Drosophila melanogaster: one gene and its partners. Changing the gene in region 2 together with the main gene of any one other region gives a genetic interaction. Each region holds a gene or a part of one and is shown on either strand. Other genes may lie near its edges. The genes, in order: ush, htl and stumps.

Evidence for each region.
Region 1: of htl (region 2) and ush, changing one enhances a phenotype caused by changing the other (phenotypic enhancement), as found in Drosophila melanogaster (one study listed by BioGRID).
Region 3: of htl (region 2) and stumps, changing one suppresses a phenotype caused by changing the other (phenotypic suppression), as found in Drosophila melanogaster (one study listed by BioGRID).

What each region holds. Positions count from the first base shown.
Region 1 is NT_033779.5:474,424-481,066, forward strand, and holds the start of ush (u-shaped), read left to right. Parts: upstream 1-1,796; 5' UTR 1,797-1,908; intron 1,909-2,022; exon of another isoform or gene 2,023-2,563; coding exon of another isoform or gene 2,564-3,781; exon of another isoform or gene 3,782-4,983; coding exon of another isoform or gene 4,984-5,052; exon of another isoform or gene 5,053-5,265; intron 5,266-6,643. Other genes in the region: MED15 (mediator complex subunit 15), read left to right, coding at 1-342, 613-755, 810-1,379; cbt (cabut), read right to left, coding at 2,564-3,781, 4,984-5,052. UniProt on the Drosophila melanogaster protein: Transcription regulator that modulates expression mediated by transcription factors of the GATA family such as pnr and srp. Represses transcription of proneural achaete-scute complex (AS-C), which is usually activated by pnr.
Region 2 is NT_033777.3:18,049,314-18,056,012, reverse strand, and holds the start of htl (heartless), read left to right. Parts: upstream 1-3,028; 5' UTR 3,029-3,511; intron 3,512-6,646; exon of another isoform or gene 6,647-6,699. UniProt on the Drosophila melanogaster protein: May be required for patterning of muscle precursor cells. May be essential for generation of mesodermal and endodermal layers, invaginations of various types of cells and CNS formation.
Region 3 is NT_033777.3:14,588,583-14,595,120, forward strand, and holds the start of stumps (stumps), read left to right. Parts: upstream 1-3,037; 5' UTR 3,038-3,387; coding exon 3,388-3,427; intron 3,428-3,699; coding exon 3,700-3,938; intron 3,939-4,078; coding exon 4,079-4,260; intron 4,261-4,421; coding exon of another isoform or gene 4,422-4,424; coding exon 4,425-4,633; intron 4,634-6,538.

The DNA of each region.
Region 1 (6,643 bases), on a different chromosome or scaffold from region 2:
AGGCGCAGCTTCAGCAAATGCAACAACAGCAGCAACAGCTGGTGGTGGGCAATCAGACGCCAACACAGCAACCTCCGACTCCGCAGATGCCCACGCCCAATATGATTCCTAGTCCGGCACTGGTTCCCCAGTCCAGTCCGCAGATGATGCAGATGCAGAATTCGCAGCGCAATATTCGGCAGCAGTCTCCAAGTGCCTCGATCAACACTCCTGGCCAGGTTACTGGTAACAGTCCATTTAATCCCCAGGAGGAGGCATTATACCGCGAGAAATACAAGCAGCTGACCAAGTACATTGAGCCACTGAAGCGGATGCTTGCCAAGATCAGTAACGACGGAACCAGTAAGTAGATAATACCCTCACGTTTCGTTTTTTTCGCAGCTATTGCATTTTTAAATCGTTTGCTGATTACTGAAATGCTGTAAATGCTATAAACCGCGTCAAATAATATAATTTAAGAATTATATAATCGTTTTTGCGAGGCCAAATGCAAGGACTAACTAACCAAAAACAAAAGTTTAATGCAAACTTACTCGGGTTTATATATTTCCTAGTAGTTATATTCTCGAAGTATATGTTATCGTAAAACTAATATTATATCTTCTTTAATAGATGTGGAGAAGATGACAAAGATGAGCAAGTTGTTGGAGATTCTCTGCAATCCTACACAGCGCGTGCCGCTGGAGACTCTACTTAAGTGTGAAAAAGCGCTTGAGAAGATGGATCTCATCTCCTATTCCGGCCAGCAGTTTGGTGTAAGTATATCTACATCCAACGGGCCAATTTATTATATTCTTCGTTATACCTAGAAATCCTCAAATCCATTGCTGGAGGTTATAAATACAACGCTGCAAAGTCCTGTAGCAAATCACACATTGTATCGCACATTCCGACCCACTTTGGAGCTGCTCTTTGGTACGGATATAACAGCTCCAGTGCCCGCAAAGCGACCTCGGGTGGAAGAAAAGTCCACGTCTTTTGAGCAGGAAGTGCCACATGTGCTTCAAGGGGAAATTGCTAGGCTCGATACCAAGTTTAAAGTGAAATTGGACACCACGTCACAGATCAACAACAAGGCCATTCGCTTGATTTGTTGCCTGGATGACAAAAGGTTGCCTAGTGTTCCGCCCGTAAGTGTGAGTGTGCCGGAGGAATATCCGTGGCAGGCTCCGGACTGCTCCTTGGCGGAACAGGAGTATTCAGCCACCCCCTTCCTGCAGACGGTGCAACAAGCTCTCATTGCCCGCATCTCGAAGTTGCCCAAGAACTACTCGCTCTCACATTTGTTGGACACCTGGGAGATGGCCGTGCGACAGGCGTGTTCCCCGCAATCGAAACCCAGAGCAGTCTGTGAACTTTCCACTTTGCTGGGAGTTTAGCCCAACTATTTGGTTAAATTCAACTATAACATTAAATCTTAAGCTAAAAGTGCGTACGCTGCAAAAAAATTACTATTTATTTTAAAATCTTTCTAATTTCTGTTTTGTTCTAGATATATTTTTATATTTGTTGGAAGTTTTACCTAACTATCCGGCCTAATCAACTATAAACATTTTTTCTATTTACGCTGGGCAAAAAGTGTGGAAAGTTTAGTAAGTTTATATCTTGTTTAATTTTAAATCAATGGATATTGAAAATTTTAATTTCATTTTAGATTCCCAAAATGCCCCTCTGTTTTGGGTAAATACATTTTAACATATAAGACAAATGGCTTTTATAGCTAAAATAAAATAAAACCAATTATTTCAAAGAATATTGAGCTGCACCGCATTGAAACATCCTTCTATATACACAACACACTCATCCACTCATCAAGCAAAAAACATTCCACACTCAAGACTTAGTTCAATACCAAAATGGGGCTACATACTTTGCAAATTGTTTCAGTCGGATGAGATTTTTAAAAAGGTAAGCATAAACAATTTGGAATAGGGCTTGTCATTCTAAAAAAAAATTAAGTCACCGCAATAGACTTCTGCCCAATTACGCTTCCCTCCCAATTCATAGAATAACTTTAGTTTTCTTTGGAAAATATGTATATTTTCATTTGTTGAGATTGGAATCGTGCGATGATCCATTATTCTATTTGTTTTCATTTTCTTTTTTTCACATTTAGCAATAAATACAATTGTGTGTGTTTTAGCTTAAGAGAATTACACTGACAACTATGGTACAATAGAAAAGAGTTAAGAAAACTTAAATATCACAGATGTTGGACGCCGAATGCGTCTCTTTATAGTATGTACAAACACTAGGGATATTCAGAATATTAATCTGAAGAAGATCGCTTAGATAAGAAGTGTGCTGTGTGCTCCTGGAAAGAAGTGGCATCTATCCGATTTGGGTATTACGTATTGAATTTGAAGTTGATATATGCACAAAACGGTGACAAGATCTAGCTCCTAACTAAGCTTAAGTCTACACCAGCTACATGAGAGCGAGAAGGCATTTCGAATTTGACTCAGATGTTAATTTGTTTTGAAATTTGGTGGGAATTCATCTCTGTTTAGCTGGCGATACTGTGGGGCTGAGATTGGTTCTGATGCTGCTCGCATTGCTCTTCTCATCGCTGCACTTGAAGCAGGGTTCCGCCGAAGGTGAAACTGCTGGCCTGCTGCTGTAGCCTCAGCAGATCTTGGGCGCTGTAGACTTGCAAGCTGGCGGAACTGATGGGCGAGGAACTAGCGCTGGAGCCCGCCGGTGCTATCGCTCGCAAATGGAGCGAGGCATCGCAGAGGGAAGCCGCTACCGAAGCTGATGTGTTGTTGTTGGCCAGGGAGACATGTCGATTCACTCCGTTCGCCTTGTCCTTGTTGTGCCGTTTGACGTGCTTCGACAGGTGATCGCTTCTCATGAATTTCTTCTGGCAGACGCTGCACTGGAATTTCTTTTCACCGGTGTGGGTCCGTTTGTGTCGGGACAACTCATCGGAACGGGAGAATCGTTTGTCACAGTTCTCCCACTTGCAGATAAAGGGTCGCTCGCCGGTGTGAACCCTCTGGTGGGCCTTCAGATGACTGCTTTTGAAGTAATTCTTGCCGCAATCGGGAAAACTGCACTCGTAGATGCGACTTCTGGTGGCCGCCGCCTGGGCGGCCGTAATTCTGGTTGTTAGTTTCTCCTCGGACATTGTTGGCGTTTTGGGTACGGGTGTGGGGCTCTGTTGGGCGGCCACTGTGCTGAGCAGGATAAGTTGGCTGGCAGACGAAGCTACTGGGCTAACATATATCGGTGTCAGAATAGGTTTTATTTCCTCCTCCTTGATGCATTCCGCTGGAGCAGGTGGCGTTACAAGCTTCGCAACTGGTGTCTCGGGTGTTTGTACTGGGGGTAGTGCCACTTCTGCAGCACGCTTTCTGTTCATTTTGAACTTGAGATTGCGCCACACATTGGCCTCTGGATAGTCGTCCTCCACAGTGGGTGGTACTGAACTTGTACTTGTGTTTGTGTTGGAAGAGGAACTACAGCAGGAGGTGGAACTAGATGAGTTCTCGTCTTGGCTACTAGAAGAGACAGCGCCAGAACTGTTGACCCGCATGATGACGCTAACCCTTTCCGCTTTCTGATCATCGTCCAGCTTTTGATCCGGCGGCGGTGTCATGCTCATAGCAGGTTGTTCCAAACGGGGTTTCTTGTTGGGAACCGCTATTTCGGGAGCCTCGTCTTCCGTGTCCGATGGATTTGGTGTAATAATCCCTCCATTTTTCTGACTCTTTTGGGCCACCAGCTTGAGCTTTGCCTTTAGCAGATTCTCGTTCACCTGTTGTTCGTCCTTGGCGACCTGGAAAAGGAAAGAACAAGTTCAGGGTTAGTCAGAGTTCGTTAACATTGTCGAGTTTATGTTCTGAGGAGTGCATTCACATTCACAGTCCCATTCACTTTTCGCTGACCAGCATTGACCCACAATAACTTTTCCTCGCAATTCGCTAATTACGCCGGCGGCTGACAAGGCCGTTCACCGTTAACCTTCACACACCCTGCAATACCCCGCCCAACCCCAGGTTCAATGCTCCTTCGAAAGGCCAAGGGAACTTTGTTTTTGGCGGTTTTTGAACTCTTTTAAAGGCCGTTTGGGGTGACAGAATATTACTCATTAACTGTTGCTGCCAGCTGTGCTTTAAATTATAGACGTATGTAAATGTTAAAGGTGAATACTGTATTGATGACCACATAAAAGTCTTTAAATTGATGTGCTCCTGACAGAAACAAAAAATGTCTTAAAATTTTAAAAACTGTTCTTAATATGGACTTTTCAAATTTCACTACTTAATTTTTAAGGATGAAAACATGAGCAACTGTTGCGTTTTCGGCGCATATTCTAGAACCATTTAAAAATTGCGCCTAAAAGCATGCAAGGAAAATGCAGCCACACCACCAGTATTATTATGACGTGCCTCAGGTGGGTGATTTCATGGGGAAGGCGAATGCGAGGGGTGTATTATGACTCGTGCGAAGACGTCGAAATCTTTTTATGGGCTCGGCACGTTGCGCTCTAATGTGCGACAGTGTTTGTTTGTTTCTTTCTTGGCCAGATAAAAAACGAGCCAGAAATGTGACATGGTTTTATGGGTTGGGGCTTGGCCTGTTTGCCTAGCTTTTGGCTAGGCCCTCTCTTTCCTCTCACACTCCACCGCTCGCCTACAGTTGCCAATTGGCAACTCACCTTCTCTCTTTTGCTTTTCTGTTGTTTTTTCCTAGTGGTGCCAAGTCCAATGTTCAGCTGCGGCCTCTCGCTCGCACTCACACATCACTCGCTGTGCATGCGGTGTTCACGTGAAAGCGTGTTGGCTGCGTGATCGCATGGCTGTGTGCGAGTGCGAGCGGGACGAGGCACTTTGTTTTTAGAAACGCGGCAAGTGGGAGCGAGAGCGAGCTAAGTACGATTCCGTTTGATTTTCCGCTGCCTTGAATGCACTATCCCCACTCAATAAGCACTAATTACACTAGCGTACACTGTATATATCCACTTTGTAGGTCACTTACGATTTCCAACTTGTTTTCCCTTAGTGGGGGCGTTGCGGGTGGTGAAGGTAGCAAGGTATCCATGTCCATTGCACTTTCAAATTTCAGTTGCACTCTCTTTTTTTTATTGAAGAGTCTGTGTTTGTTTGTTTGTTTTGTTCCGGGGCTAATCACTTGGTTTAATCTCAGTTTGTGTAGATTTTTGCACTTCAGCTAACTTTGCACTGGCGCTTTCAAGTGCCGCTTGCCGTTTTGGAGCGAAGGCGAACCGTTGCGTTCGGAATTCAAGAGACGAATGAAAAAGGCAAAGCCATTCAGCTCCCAGCAGAGCTGCCGCCGCCGACGCCGCTGCCGGCAGAGGCTGTGCAAGTGTGAGTGAGTGGAGCCGCCGACGACGTAATCACTTGGAAACGGGCAAGTGTGTGTGAGCGGGCCATCGTCATCGGCAGTGGAGCAACCAGTGCAATGTAACCCGGACGAACATCAGCCAGCAACGTGGGCAGCACCTCCTCGGCTCCTCTCTCTCGGGCGCAAAAAAGAAAAAGGTCAGGTCTCCTGCTCACTCACCTCTCAGCAACCCACGTGCACCGGACAAAATAGCCCGTAAAGAATGACATCTCTGTTAACTCAATTTTAGACTGTAATGTTGGTTGGCAATAAGTTAAAAGAGATTCAGGTGAACCCAAATCGTTTTTAGTAAACTCTCTAAAAGTGTATGGCTATTTTAAATGTTGCCATCTTTTCCGAGAAGACCCAAAAAATCACCGAAGCGATTTCTTTCTGTGCAGGACACAGACACACAGCCAGTAGGAGAGAGGCCCGCAGAGCACGTAATCAACGCATGGACGTCATCAGCTGTTCACTGCGGGGTCTTGTGTTTGGTGCTATAGAGAACGGGTCAGTAGAGGAGGAGCTGGGGAGGGTGTGGGGCTCCATCGGCTGTCTATTCATGGGCTGTGCATGCCCCAGCCGCGTGCACAGCGCACACCAACCGACACACTCACAGACACACCCCAAAGCCGTGTCTGAGTAGCTGACGTAGTTGTTGCCACGGAAGTCTGTGAATAATCGGCTGAAAAAATACTTTAAAACTGGCTCGAAACCTGGCAGACGCCCCTCAAGCTGAAATCTAAGACCTGGCCGCATATATTTGCATTAACTTTGGAAGTCTGACTTTAAGCAGACACGGATTTCATTAATAAACGAAAGGCATAGTGCGAAAGCAGGAGAGTATGGGAGCTCAACAGTTGACGGGGAGCATTGCCAGGCCCAAGAAACTGGGAGATAACAAAGATGAGTCACGAAAAGCAGGCATTTCAAAATCCTCTTATTCACCACCAGTGAATGCATGTAACTCAATTAAGTCGTCAATTGATTACATTTATTTTGTTTGAAAACCCTCCTAGGACACGGGTAAATTCTACCTGGCAATGCTCGCGTTTCGCCTGTAACAGTTTTCAAAGCAAAAAGGGGCTCGTACACAGAGCACACACACCAAAGAGCGAGCGGCAGAAACAGCTGTGGTTATTGGCGCTCTCTTGCGCAACAACAACGAATAACTAGCACGCCATACCCCACACCAGACTTGTGGGGCGACTGTTCAGGCCGTGTAGGGTATTCAGGGGTAGCATGGGAGCAGCTAGATTAGATGCAGATCTCTGAAAAGTTTAAGTTTTATTTT
Region 2 (6,699 bases):
ACGCACTTTTAAGCGCCAGTTTTAGCCGCCCCAGCCCATACCATATCCATTTGCCCCCTCTCTTCTAAAGAGCCAGCTTTAAATTATGGCCTAGACCGCGACGGCGGCTAAGACCCTTGGTGGAACAGAAAACGGGCAGATAAAACCACTTTCCGAACTGAGAACTTCGAACAGTAGCCATAGCCAGTAGAACAGGGAAGATCGTGTTGCTGGGGATATCTAATATAATTAATACACCTTTCATTAGATTCGCCGACTCTACTCGAGATTTCTGCTGGCCTTTCGTTTCCAGCGTTTCGAGCGTCGTGTTAAAAGCAAGATATCAACGATCGCCGGTCTGCTTAAGCTGATTTACCATAGATCCAGAGATACATCAACCAGCCAGCACAATATAAATCAATCAAGTGCATACAAGTTCATTGACAGCTCGCACAGCTTGCCGAGCCCCAAAGCGCTCGGCGATGGCAACAATTTCCAGCCCCACATGATCCATGAGCCATGATCCTCCGCTTGGATACCCGAACACCCATCTCTGTGGCAGGCCAACTGGCCAACTCTGGGTCTAAACCAAAGAAGAAAAAAAAAGGCCAACAGCCTGTCAAATTGCCGGACCACATTGTAAGTTATGATTAGCTCACGCGCTCAAAGATTTAAGACCGGAAATGGCGCGGTGCTGGCAAGGTGGAGCCAATAATTCAAATTCGAATCTCCAATAGTTTTTGAGTGATTGGAAATTCGATTTCGGGCTTTTGTTTTGTTTTTTCTCGCATTTTTGATTTTTGCTTTCCGCCTGTCTCGAGGCTTATTGCATTTTCATTTATTTTGCTATTTGCCTGCTCTTGTGGCAAATGCAAACACACCCGCATAATTTCGCCTGCCAGCAGCAACCCACTCGGTTTGGATTGCGAAGATGCCAAATTGCCACGCACAGTTGATGCATAAATTATCATCGACATCGCCAACGAATGGAGCCATCGAATTGGTCTGGTTTTAAGCGGGTTTTTGGTTCTAGGCAATGATGAATCAATGTTTTGCAGGCCTAACTTATTTGAGCCCATATGATACAATAAATACATTCAACTCAATTTCTTAATCTTAATCTACTAATCCCAAAATTTAATTGATTTCCCAAGTCACCTAGCAAAAGTTAATATATTGCTCTTCCTTATTTTCATTGACAGCTTCAATAGCCCATCTGTTTATCTATTGCAACTGAATAAGTCTAGCAGTTAACTTATTTTTTGGTTGTTTAATCCGCTGGTCGAAAGCGTTTCTCATTGGCATATTTCGCATATAATTGGCTATAAAAATTCATGTTAATGTGCAATTAATCATATTAGCAATTAACTTTATGCTGTTTGGCTGCTCTGCACGAGATCTCGACGAGCTGCGATCTGCGAGATGGCTGCAGATCGTGTCGCCCAACTCGAAGATCGTGTCTCCAAAAGCCTGTTACCGTTCCCGATTTTTCATTTCCCATTCGCAGATTCCCAGAGCCAAATGGCCAAAGGCTCGACCAACCAGACTTTGAGCCAATTTCCCAATATTTATTTCTATGCTCGAAACGCTAACAACTTGCGTTTCGTTCTGGCCAAATTGAAAAGCCATACGGAAGCTGAAGCTGCGATCGGCAGCCTCGAGGAGAAGCACTTTTGGGTAGCCAAGAGGAGCCCGGTTTGGAGCCAGGTTGGAGCCAGGAGGCTTGCCCAGGAGTGCATAAAATTTAAGTATTATGACCATACACACTGATCGGTGGCCGTCTTTAACCCGTGCTTTCCCCGGTCTCTCTGCGGCTTTACGAGGTTGTTAACTGTTGAAACTATGCTAACCACTCATGGGGATCCTCCCTCCCAATTCCGCCGTGGAGCATCAATTAATCAGTCAGGCGTAACGCCATTTGGCACTGAACGGGTCCCGTCGGCCACAATTGATGGTCAATAATCGTTAATTGTTTTCGATTTTCGGCCAAAATCCCCCCTGCGTCATTGTCCATTGTTTGGCTAACCCTTTTCGTTATTTTTGGTGTCTCCATAGAGACAAACGCTAAACGATGCCATTGTCTTTGGCGCACAGCGTGTGTGCTTTGATGGCCTTTTCACCACGAGTGTCATTCATTAGAGGGGCTTTCTTCCATCGCCACTTGGCTACTGGTTCTTATGTGTCTGTTGGCCATTTGACATTGGCTATAAGTAGCTCATAATTAATAACTGCTAACTTACTTAGCGAGCTATTGTGTTGGCTAATGAATCTCATTCCGCATTTTCCGCCTCAAACGAAGCGCAAAGAAATGCGCAAAGAATTTGTCAGTAGAATCTTAGGCCCTCATAGGCCATAAATCTTTTTAAAAAATAATAATAATTAAATTCAAGTGACTGATCTATTCTGACTAAGATAAGTTAGCTATTCTTTTTAATAAAGCATGATCCATCAAACCAATTATAACTACATAAATAATTGATCTGAATATAAGGAATCTTTTTGACAACTACCCATCTTCTTTGCACCCTCATAATGAAATTCATGAATTTCCTCGCTGCGCTCGAAACTATGCAACATATTGTGCGTTAGAATATCTTTGAGATATTCCATTCGACTCAATTGAACGAATTTTAGAACGAGTGCGGTCTGTGCACTCAATTACATTTCACTTTCCAAGGGAAGGCCGCCACTCAGCTACACACTTGTGTGTGTGTGTGTGTGGGTCCCCCATATATAGGGTATAGGGGCCCCTATACCATATAGTACCATACATACATATACCGCATACCCAACCCCTCGCTTTTTCGACCCTTCCTCTCTTTGGCTGCGGATTATACAATGTGTGGCTGGCGTTCCGTTCAATTTTGTGTGTTTTCTGTATTTGTTTACGCGCCTGCCGCAAAAATACATTGCAGAGATGTGTTCTCCAGCATGTTGAAGTTGATGGGGGAAATGTGAATTCGTTTCATTTGTTCCCTCATTTAATTGAAGAGATTTATTTCGCAGAGCTGGCTCGGTTCTGTTCGGTTCGCTTGCTTTTTTTTGACTCAGTTGCGATCGGACTGCGTGCCGTTACAGTAGGCGAAATCGGAGGAAAATCGTTGGAAAATCGGTTGGAAAATCGTTGGAAAATCGGTGAAAAATCGTCGAAAATTAGAGCGAACGATCGATCGATTGAACGCGTAATAACGCCATATAATATAATTATACTAATAATTATTAGTAATGCCTCTTGGTGAAAACGCACACATTTTGTGGATGGAAAGAAACAAAACAGAGTCAAGTGTGCAACGGTTTCTGGTTCTGTTTAAGTGCCTAAGTGCCATATAAATGCGTACTAAAACATTTCTGGAATTTTAAGTGGAAACATTCTCGAATTCTGTGAACTTTCCCAATTGTGTTTTTAGTGAAAGACTTACAATTTAGACGAAGGCAAGGAGAAATTCCAACGCAGAGACACTTTGGTGGATATTTGGCAAGAAGCTTTTTGGCATTTTTTTTTTTTTGTTCGTGGAGCAACGCACTTTGTGAGGTAAGTCTTTAAAAATACACACCGTGCATCGTTTAATTTAGTTTATTTTGTTTTTGGTTTTTTTTGCGTAGTTGCGCAAATCATTTGTTTGATCCACTTTTTGATTGACCGCGCACAGCAATTTGACTTTTTAACCCAAAGGCCAAAAAGTGTAAAATGTGCAGTGGTTCGGTTCCAAAGCAATTTGTGTCGTTTATCCCGCTGTGTGTGTGTGTAGTCAATCGTTCAATTATCTATTCTCTGGCTACCCCATAATAATACAGTGAATATGGACAGTTGTGGGCTCCCCATAGTATCTGTTTTTTTTATTTTTTATTTATTCCATTCGGTTCTGCTATGGTACATGCTCAAATTGAAAGCACTTTTCCACAGGGTTCCCATTCTAATTTATATTTATTTATTTGCTTTTACAAGCCAACCGATGCCCCAGAGCTCGGGAAAATATTTCAAACTCATAATTCTGTTATATTCCAACGCTCCCTTAGAATGGGATTTTGTTTATTAACCAACAGCATATAGCATATATCGTATCATCTAGAGTCTAGATTCTAGAATGTAGACGGTATAGGAACATGCAATATTTTCTAGCCGCGTAAACAAACATTTCAACTTGTCTGCTCTTTGTCCGACTTGCTCTATATCTGAGTGAGTATATAGCTAAAGATATAGCTATCTGTGTGTATATATATGTATATATATATATTTATCGGGTATCTGTTTTGTCGGTCGGTTAGCTTTACGATGCCATCTTCTAGGTGATTCGGCTTCTGTTTTGTTGCCTTTGGCAATCACTCAATTTGCTGGCCGACAACCGAAGACGCTTCTTACTTTTCGCCTCCCTTCTCTGCAATTTATTTATGAATGATAATTAAGGTTAGGTTTGTTTAGCTAATTGTGCGGCCAGTTCCCGGTATTGTTCCCATATCATCTCAGGTGGGATCCACGCAGACTTTCGGTATGATCCTTTGATCTTTATGATGTTAAAGTACAAATGTCACGAGAATATATGCTTGCTATATAATATTAAATGTTTTCATGAGAGTTTATCATAAAATCAGTGTTTACCAAATAAAGATTTCGATTTAGAAATAGATTTATGTCAACAATAAAGTAATAATGTTATTTTTTGGTATTATAATATATTATAGCTTAAGCTTATCAATGCTACAGCACTTTTATAATGGATTTTGTTGTCTAAATGTTTGTGAGTACTAATAAAATTTTAAAGCTCTAAATGGCAAATTTACAAATATATAAGTAAAGCTTGCAACAATTTAAGAATAGCACATATTTATTTCAACTAAATCTGTTGAACGTTCTTTATATAAATCGCTGCGTGCTTTATATTTCTGAAATGTAAATCGAATCAATAGTTCACTACTCATATACTTTGTGATAATTTAACGTAGCTTCGCGTTTTTGATAAAGTCGACTTGCCACAATCGACCTTTCGCTCCATCTGCTTCTTTTCGTTTACCCCATGGGATGCAACCTTCTCGCCGTCACGTACTGAATGGTATATACTAGATGAACGGGTGGGGATGGATGGATGGATGGATGGCTGGATGGGATTGGCATTGGGTGGCTGATGGCTGGTGGAACCTGCCGACGAACCGTGCGAAATAACAGACTCGTGCCGGTCTCGACTTGGTATCGGATACACTGAGCGGCAGCGGGGCAACCGCCAAGTGCGTCAATTGCGGGTCAACCCGTGCGATTGAAATGGATGCGCCAAGTGACCGGCGATTTCAATTCGATGGGAAATGTACATATACCGTGCAATGTTTGTATACTTTGCAAATACTTTCCGGAACGTGTTTGTTTATAAATCGGGCGATTTTGGACGGCACAGGAAATACATACATATACTAAAATTGCGCGCTCATTATCGATGGAGGTGAAGGTCGGAGGGTGGAGATAGAATACCAAACATATATACAATTTTTGGCAGTTTCCGATTTGGCGGATGCCTTCCTGGAAGTCAACATTTCGGATAACCCCATCATTTAGACGCTGGAGTCGCTACTTCCCCTCGAGAATCGACGACAATGTCTGTGCAACACATGTGGCACGATCTTAGGTAGACATACGTATATGTACATTCGTGTATGTTCGATGCTGATGATGTGCCCACATGTTGCAGTCAACAATAGAGCAACAAATGCAAGCCGAAACAATATTTGCCCTTGTCTCTGCTCTGACTCTGACTGTGGGCGTGGCGACGGGGGCGGGAGAACAGAGACAACTGAACACAGTAGTCTTCTCCGCCGGCCGTTATTTTTGTTGCTTTTAATTTCTTTAATTTTTTTTTGTCCGCCAGATGTGGGCTGAATGTTGAATGCGGACTGGAAAGATCAGACCCAGAACGCGGAGAGAAACTGTGTCTGTTTTAATTAAAGATGAGAGTAATACCCAGTGCAAACTGAGAGATACCGCCGATACTGAGATACAAAGCCAGACGGGGCTGGCATGTGTGGAAAATTAAGGCTGCCGTTGAAAGCGAAAAGATGCGGGACGCTAAAGGCAACGACCATCCAAACAGAACAGAACCGCAATGTGAATGAAAAAGCGAGCTTGTCAATTTATTGACTATAGCATACCTGGCAATTTGGCAACTCGACTTTACTCGAAAAAAAAAAAATGTCCTTTATAATGATATACCAATATATACCAATCATGCCATTAGGTAACAAATGTATATCATCTATATATTATACTTAGTACTTGAATAATTTCACAAAAAAAGATTTGTTTAAAAAGGATCTTAATATCGATGCACGAAGCTTTCAACGCTTTACTCTTATGATCATATCATCACTTCGATTGCTTATTTGATCAAACCCGTGCATAACCCATTTCACCCTTACATTACAGGGTATTAGGCATTGGAAATATAACGGCAAAAGTGGAAGCGACTCGAGGGCCCACTAAATTGAGTCGCCTTTTCCGACGCCGGCGCATTGAGTAGGACATTGTGTGTGGGAGAGAGATGGTGAAAGAGAGAAGGGCGATCGGATCCGGGGAGTTAAAGAGAGATAGCGAGAGAGAGAGAGTGTGGGAGATTTAAGAGAGGTAGAGAATCGGAATAGTCGCGATCACCACTAGAATTGGAATCGGAATTGGCATTGGGCATATTCAGTACATCGGACTACGCGGACCAATTTGGAACAGTTTTTCGCTTGGCTCCG
Region 3 (6,538 bases), 3.5 Mb from region 2:
GAATGAAAATGTCTGAGTAAATAGAAGAGCAGGCTCTCTAGCAGCGAAATGAATTCAACAAAATAAATAAAAGCAATGCACACAATATTCCTGCAAGTGGCAAACAAATGCTATGGACACCCTGTTTTGGCCCTTCCACACTCGATTGTAATTACATATATATCTGCATTAAACGGGGAGTGCCAGTGAGGAAGGTCTTGTCTGGCCAATCGATGGCAAGACAATTTACGGGCCGCACAATATGACAAATCTAAAATTCACAATTACGCATTTCCCCCACCCACTGGATTTTCCACCTGCTTCATTCTTCCTGTTTGGCCCAAAGGGCTTCCTGCTCGGATTTCCAATCGATTGCCAATATAATATGGCTGTGTAGTTGTTCAAATCGGTTTTATTGCCCTGTAATTACTTGTTCAATGTTCTGTTCGATCGAAGAGGAAACTTACAGGGGTTTAAAGTAGTGCATGAAGTGGGTATTATTAAATGAAAACCAAAAGGGTAGAGTAATATCTTTAATAATCCAAACCTCTGTTGGTAAGACCAAAATGCATCTTTGTAGGTAGATGTACAATATATATTCACACCCTATTGAACTTTTCCATAACTGACCCCAGAGAACAACAAAAACACGGGGAATTTATTGAACTCTAGGCGGTGCGTAGTAGTGATTAACCCGTCAACACCGATGAACAATCAGCGAAAGTGCAGCGAATGGCGCCCAATCCCCGTGGCAAGGGAAATGGAAACTCAGCACAAAGCCGGGTTGGGATGCTCCACTCTGTGACTAACTAGACAAAGCCGCGTTGCAGTAGAGCGTCTACAGATTTACGACTCGCCAGTTGAGTCCAGATCCCCCTGGCAGACCCTCCTCGTCCGCGGAACACGTGGAGCGTGCTGGCGAAGACAAGCATTTGACATTTATGTGCAGCAAATGCATTTGCCCAAGTACTCGAGCAAGGCAATCGGCTGCAAGTGCAAGTACCCTAGTGGTTCAAGATCATTTGCATCCAGCAGCAGCCAAACAAATACGTTTGCACTGGGAGAAATATTTAAAATGTTTAAGAAACTCATTACATTTGTTAATATCTTAACTTTTCAGGATATAACATGCTAAGTGTTATATTATATAACATTAAAGTTATTTCTGCCAGTGTAACGTTGCAGAGTCACTTGCTCCGCAGAGAGCCGCCACTCAAAGATCAACCCTCGATGGCAGACTCTCGCCTTTATGGACTACGAAATGTGCAATTTCTGCTCGGGTACCGAGTTTTACGATTTTTCCATAGGTCCCAATATGCCGGGCATCTGTGTGGTAGGGGTTATTTGGTTGTTGGCCCAGTATCGATGGCAGGCCCGATTTTAGACCCAGTCCACTTAGGAATTCCACGGACAGACCACATGGACTCTCTAGCATTTTGCCACTTCAGTTGTTGCTTCAGTTTCAGTTTTTTTTTTCCTAGTTGCACTGGGGAAAAATGTGAAAATGTGTTCCCTTAGCACAATTGTTGCTCTCCCCTGGCTGCAATTTTTAATGTGCCTTTTCCGATGCGCGTTCTTTTTTTTCTGCCTTTGATGCTCTCGAGTTTCCCCTAATGTGGCTGGAATATGTCGCCTGGCCATAGCTTCTATTATGGCCTTCTATTTTCGGCCCAACATTGATGACAATTTTCATATTTGCCATAAAGTCGAAAGGCAAATATTGCGTATCTTCAGGACAATTGAAGAAATGCTCCAAATATGAGTTTACTTTATGCTAATATATTAATATACAGCGTAAGTAATCATCATATTTTTGATGAATTTCTGGCATCTGTATCATCAAACATCCTAAAACTCTTTGTATAATTTTTTTTTTTTGTATTTTTTCCCATGATATTTTGGAAGATTAATTCTCCCACCGCTCTGCGAAGGTGAGTTCTCATGGTCCCTCCCGAAAAACGTCTCATAAATGTTTCCTGACAGTGAACATCATCGAATTGAAGACCAACCCAACCACAGACAACACTCGGCGCACAAACTCAAACTTTGACACTGATAGAACATGGGGAATACTAAACCGGGGGGCTCACCTCAGATGCTACAATATATATGATGATGGTATATGCTATGTGCGCCACATCAAGTTGGCTTATATGCTAGATGGGTCTTCTATTTCTGCTATCGGAACTCATCAAATATGCACGACGAGACCAAGACAAAACGTACGCTCACGGATGGAAAATGGGAAAGGGACAGGAGACAGGGACAGTGGACAGGGGACAGAGGACAGGGAATCATGGATATCATGGAAATCATGGACTCGGAGCGCGCTGGCGATGATAATTTGATCATGCGAAAAGCGCACGCAAAAGAAAAACATGCGCAGGTACAACAACAAAGTCGTTGTAGTCGAGGAAAAGTGAGTTTTCCTGATCGCCGATCGGTTTCTAGGGGTGGGGGAGTACCGAGTGGGTGATGGCAATATGGCAACCATATTTAAACACTGATCCCGTATGCGTGTGTGCGTGCGCGGGCGGGAGCGAGATGGGGTGAGAGTGCGAGGGAGAGATGCAATGTTTTTATGCTGCTGCCGATGTCGCTGCACTGTGAGAAAATAAGAGATGAGAATTGATTGATCTCTCAAAATGATGTACAAATTTATTAGTGAAGACACAGAAACAGACATAAAGAAATCAAATTTACCGATTAAATATTATTATTTTATTTAATTAATGTATCCAGTTCAAAATCTTGTGGTACTTATTTCAAGTAATTTTTTGTATCTGAATTTATTAAGAAAATTATGCCTAACAGTTTCGCTTAGAGAATTCGAAAGAAAATATTAATATGAGAAGGTGGGATTTTTCGGTATATTTATTTTTATCAGTGCACGCTGAGAATGGGAATGGATGAAGAAGTGCGCGTATGGTAAATAAAAACCAAAACACGAGGAGGGATTCTCTGCGTCGGCAGAGACGTCGACAGAGACATCGGCGGTGGCAGAGGAAAATGCAGACGGCGCGGAGTGTTTTGTTCTCGTTGAAGTTTTAGAATTTATTCCGTTTCGGGATGTCAATGCAGACGCACGCACTGCGCGAACTCAAGTGAACTGAAGTGAAATATTAAGTCGAACCATCACGAACTTGCATTGCCGCCTAAATTTGAATTTTGAATTTATTTGCCCCGTTTTTTCAAACTGACAATTTGTTAAGTTGCCATTTGTGGCACTCCCCGTTGTGATTTCCGTTTACGGTTTCTCGAATTCGCGCCCTGTGCGCAACTTTTGGCGCGTGCGCATGCGCAGCCAGTGAAAGTGCAAATGCATCGCAAATCAGAGCTCTGAATTGTGGTAGACTCTGCGAATCGCATATCAACTAAGGAAAAATTCACTGCATAAAGGATCTCAAGATGTTTGTCACTGTGGATAACACAAACACCTTCTTCTCAGGTAAAAAGAGTGAAAGAGTTTCTTAAAGACTTTATAAGTTTCTTTATGCGAAAAGAATTGTAACAAATATCAAAGTTTTAAGTTAGAAAGTATGAGCAAAAGCGAAAGATTATACAAAGATACAGAGATTCATACAGATTAAAAACGTACATATATGATATTAAATAAATGTTATTTATTATACTTTATAAGCACATCCTCAAACTTTGATAAGTTCAAATCAGAAAACTAACTCCATTCCTCATTCATTCTATTGCAATTGAACTCCCCAGACAACCCGTATTACTTTTGCAATGAAACCAAGTCGCCGCGCACCCCGGACTCGCAGTCCTCCAGCCGGGGATTCTCGATCTTCAAGCGGCGCAACTCGAAGGGCAGCAGCCCCCGGCCGCTGGTGATGACCAATCCGGAACAGATGCGACTGATCACATCCGCCAATCTGGATACCACGGCTACCATGGCATTAGGAAGTCCGCGGGGCAGCTTCAATTCCCTCGCCGGCTATCCGCAAGTGAGTAGCGATTTAATAGAGCATATTCCGATCTCCGATTTCGGAATACTGATTCTGATTTATCTGCTGGATCTGCCACTTCCTGTGGAGTCGAGTGAGCCCTTCTAATGTGCCGTCCTCTTCCGTTTTGCGCATTTCAGCACGCGATTGAACTGCAGACGATGAACATGTACCGCCAGCGATCTGCAAATTCGCACTCAGAGTTCCGGGAACGCCTGAATTCTTGCAACGAGACCCACAGCTCCCAGTGTCCCGGAGGAGGAGGTGCATCCGTAGCTGGGGATCACGACGAGGTCTTCAATCCGCTGACATCGCCAACAAGGTGAGCAATCCCCAGAATCGAGCATTTAATGGGGAGGGTGAGGTGATGACAGGATGCGATTGCAGCTGTTGACAGTTTCGAACCGCCCCCTTTTCCGCCCATGCTAATCGTGCGCCCTTTCTTTTCTCCCCCCACCCCCCATCTTTGCGACCAATCCTCAGTAGCAAATCGCATCGACATCACACCCTGCCAAGTGGCGGAACTCGTCGCCATTCCCTGGGAAACTGGGCCCAACATCAGCATCAACAGCAACATCAACAGAACTCTGGAGCAATGGGACTGGGATCTCCGGATGAGGTGCCCAGCATGATGGCGCCTCGACCGCCGCTCCTCTCGCCAAACAAATTCCGCGGCAGTTCCCATCGACGAAGAGGTGAGTTGACGTTCCACGACACTTGCATTTCCCATCTGCTCAGTATGCCACGGGGCAATCGCGAATTCCTATGCTAATCTGGGCTCAATAAGTAGAAGTAATCCATGTAAATGGAAATCGTTTAGCAAAGTTTTCAGATAATAGAAAAGTCGATAGTTGACAGCAAACGTATATGGATTATAGGATATGGCTGTTATGTCCCTAAAGGAATAAATTTTGGCTCACAAATTTTTAATTTTCTTTGAGAGCTATTTTTTAAATATCTGCTTATTGCTGTGTTATTTAATTTACTCGAGTCTAATATACTTTTAGTTATTTTAATATGCCCCACAAGTTCAGCCGACGCAGTGACAAAGACAAAGTGGTTGCAAATTGCATTCCCTGCCCTCGTTTCGCGTTCGCATTTTTGCACTTTGGCGGCTGTCAGGCGTTCACTCCCCTTTGCCTGCTACTCCATTTTCATGCCCCAAAAGTCCTCCCTTCTGGGGTTTTCCCCCCTGTTGACTCCTCCAGTGGCTGCCCAACAACCTTTACCTCGCAGCTTTGCATCACGTTTGCATATTAAGCGCAACTGCCAGCTCTTCGGAATTTGTTTTTTCATTTTTCGCCTGGCAGGCGCCATGGAATTGGGTCCACTACCCAGCCCCTTTCAGTTCGCCCTCACATTTAAACCACGTTAACAACATTGCAATGTTTACGCAAGTGATAATTGTAATAGTATTTTGTCGCCAGAGCGTCGCCAATCTTTGTTTTGGCATTGTTTTTCCCCGGCAGTGGAGTGGAGCTTCTGTTTGCCTTCGATTTTGTGGCGTAATGAGGGGATCGCATATAGCCGATCGAGCGTATATATAGCTGATTGTTGGCAACGCGCCTTCCTGGCTGACTGACATTTCGCGACTGGCCTGACATTGACAGTCCTCCGTGTGATGGATGCCCCTAAAGTGGGCAGTTGCATGCAAGATGGAAAGGCCTCCTGGTTTACTCGTATGTCCAGCAAAAGTCACAGGTTTATGGTTTATGAGTCGCTCAGGACTCCTTTGCACGATCATTGTGTATTCATCATAAGCGTTTTCAAGGTTTCGCTTTCATGACATCTGATGATTTAAGTTGATTTAAGGCACTTCGTGTGACGTTTAAATCCAGCGCGATTTTCGAGTCTCAAAAGAGATGAGAAATAAGTAGTAGATGAGATACTGAGGAGTGTTTCATACATAGAAATTCAGAGCATGTAGATCTGCTTTAGAAGTGCCGCAATTTATTAGAAGTGTGCCATTAAAGTTTTTACTATTATAAAAACAATAGATTCTTTCCCTTATTGTTATTGTTATCAATTATAATAACGGTTGCCCACAGCGCCTTATTCTAAAAATGATCACCCACCATATTCGACACACTTATCGCTATGGTCACTTGCAATCCATTCGAATCTTTCGCCATATGCAGGAAACTAGGCAATTCGCCTCAATCGGCAATTAACCCACAACACCCACGAACAATTCATTTCTAACACCTAAATTTATGGCAAAGTAAAAACAAACCGAACCGAATATCTCTGCCATATTTGCGAGTGTCCCACTGCAGTTGCCAGTTCGATTGGCATAAGTTATACGCATTTCCGCTCTTTCAATAACAATGGCCATTGCATTTTGTTATTATGTTGCTGGCAACGGGGCGGATGGGCAACATGGGCGATATTGGATGTGCGGATGGTGGAGTCAACAAACGAATCGCTTGACGTGGGCGGTGGGTGTGGCCGCATGAGGAGCATAAATTGAAGAACTGCACATCCAATAAGGCACAACCAACTGGCTGGAACGGAACACGGCATAATTGATGGGCGGACTCCGACTCCCCGGTACACATATGTACATATACCTAAACCTATAGATATGTATGCTTCAAACG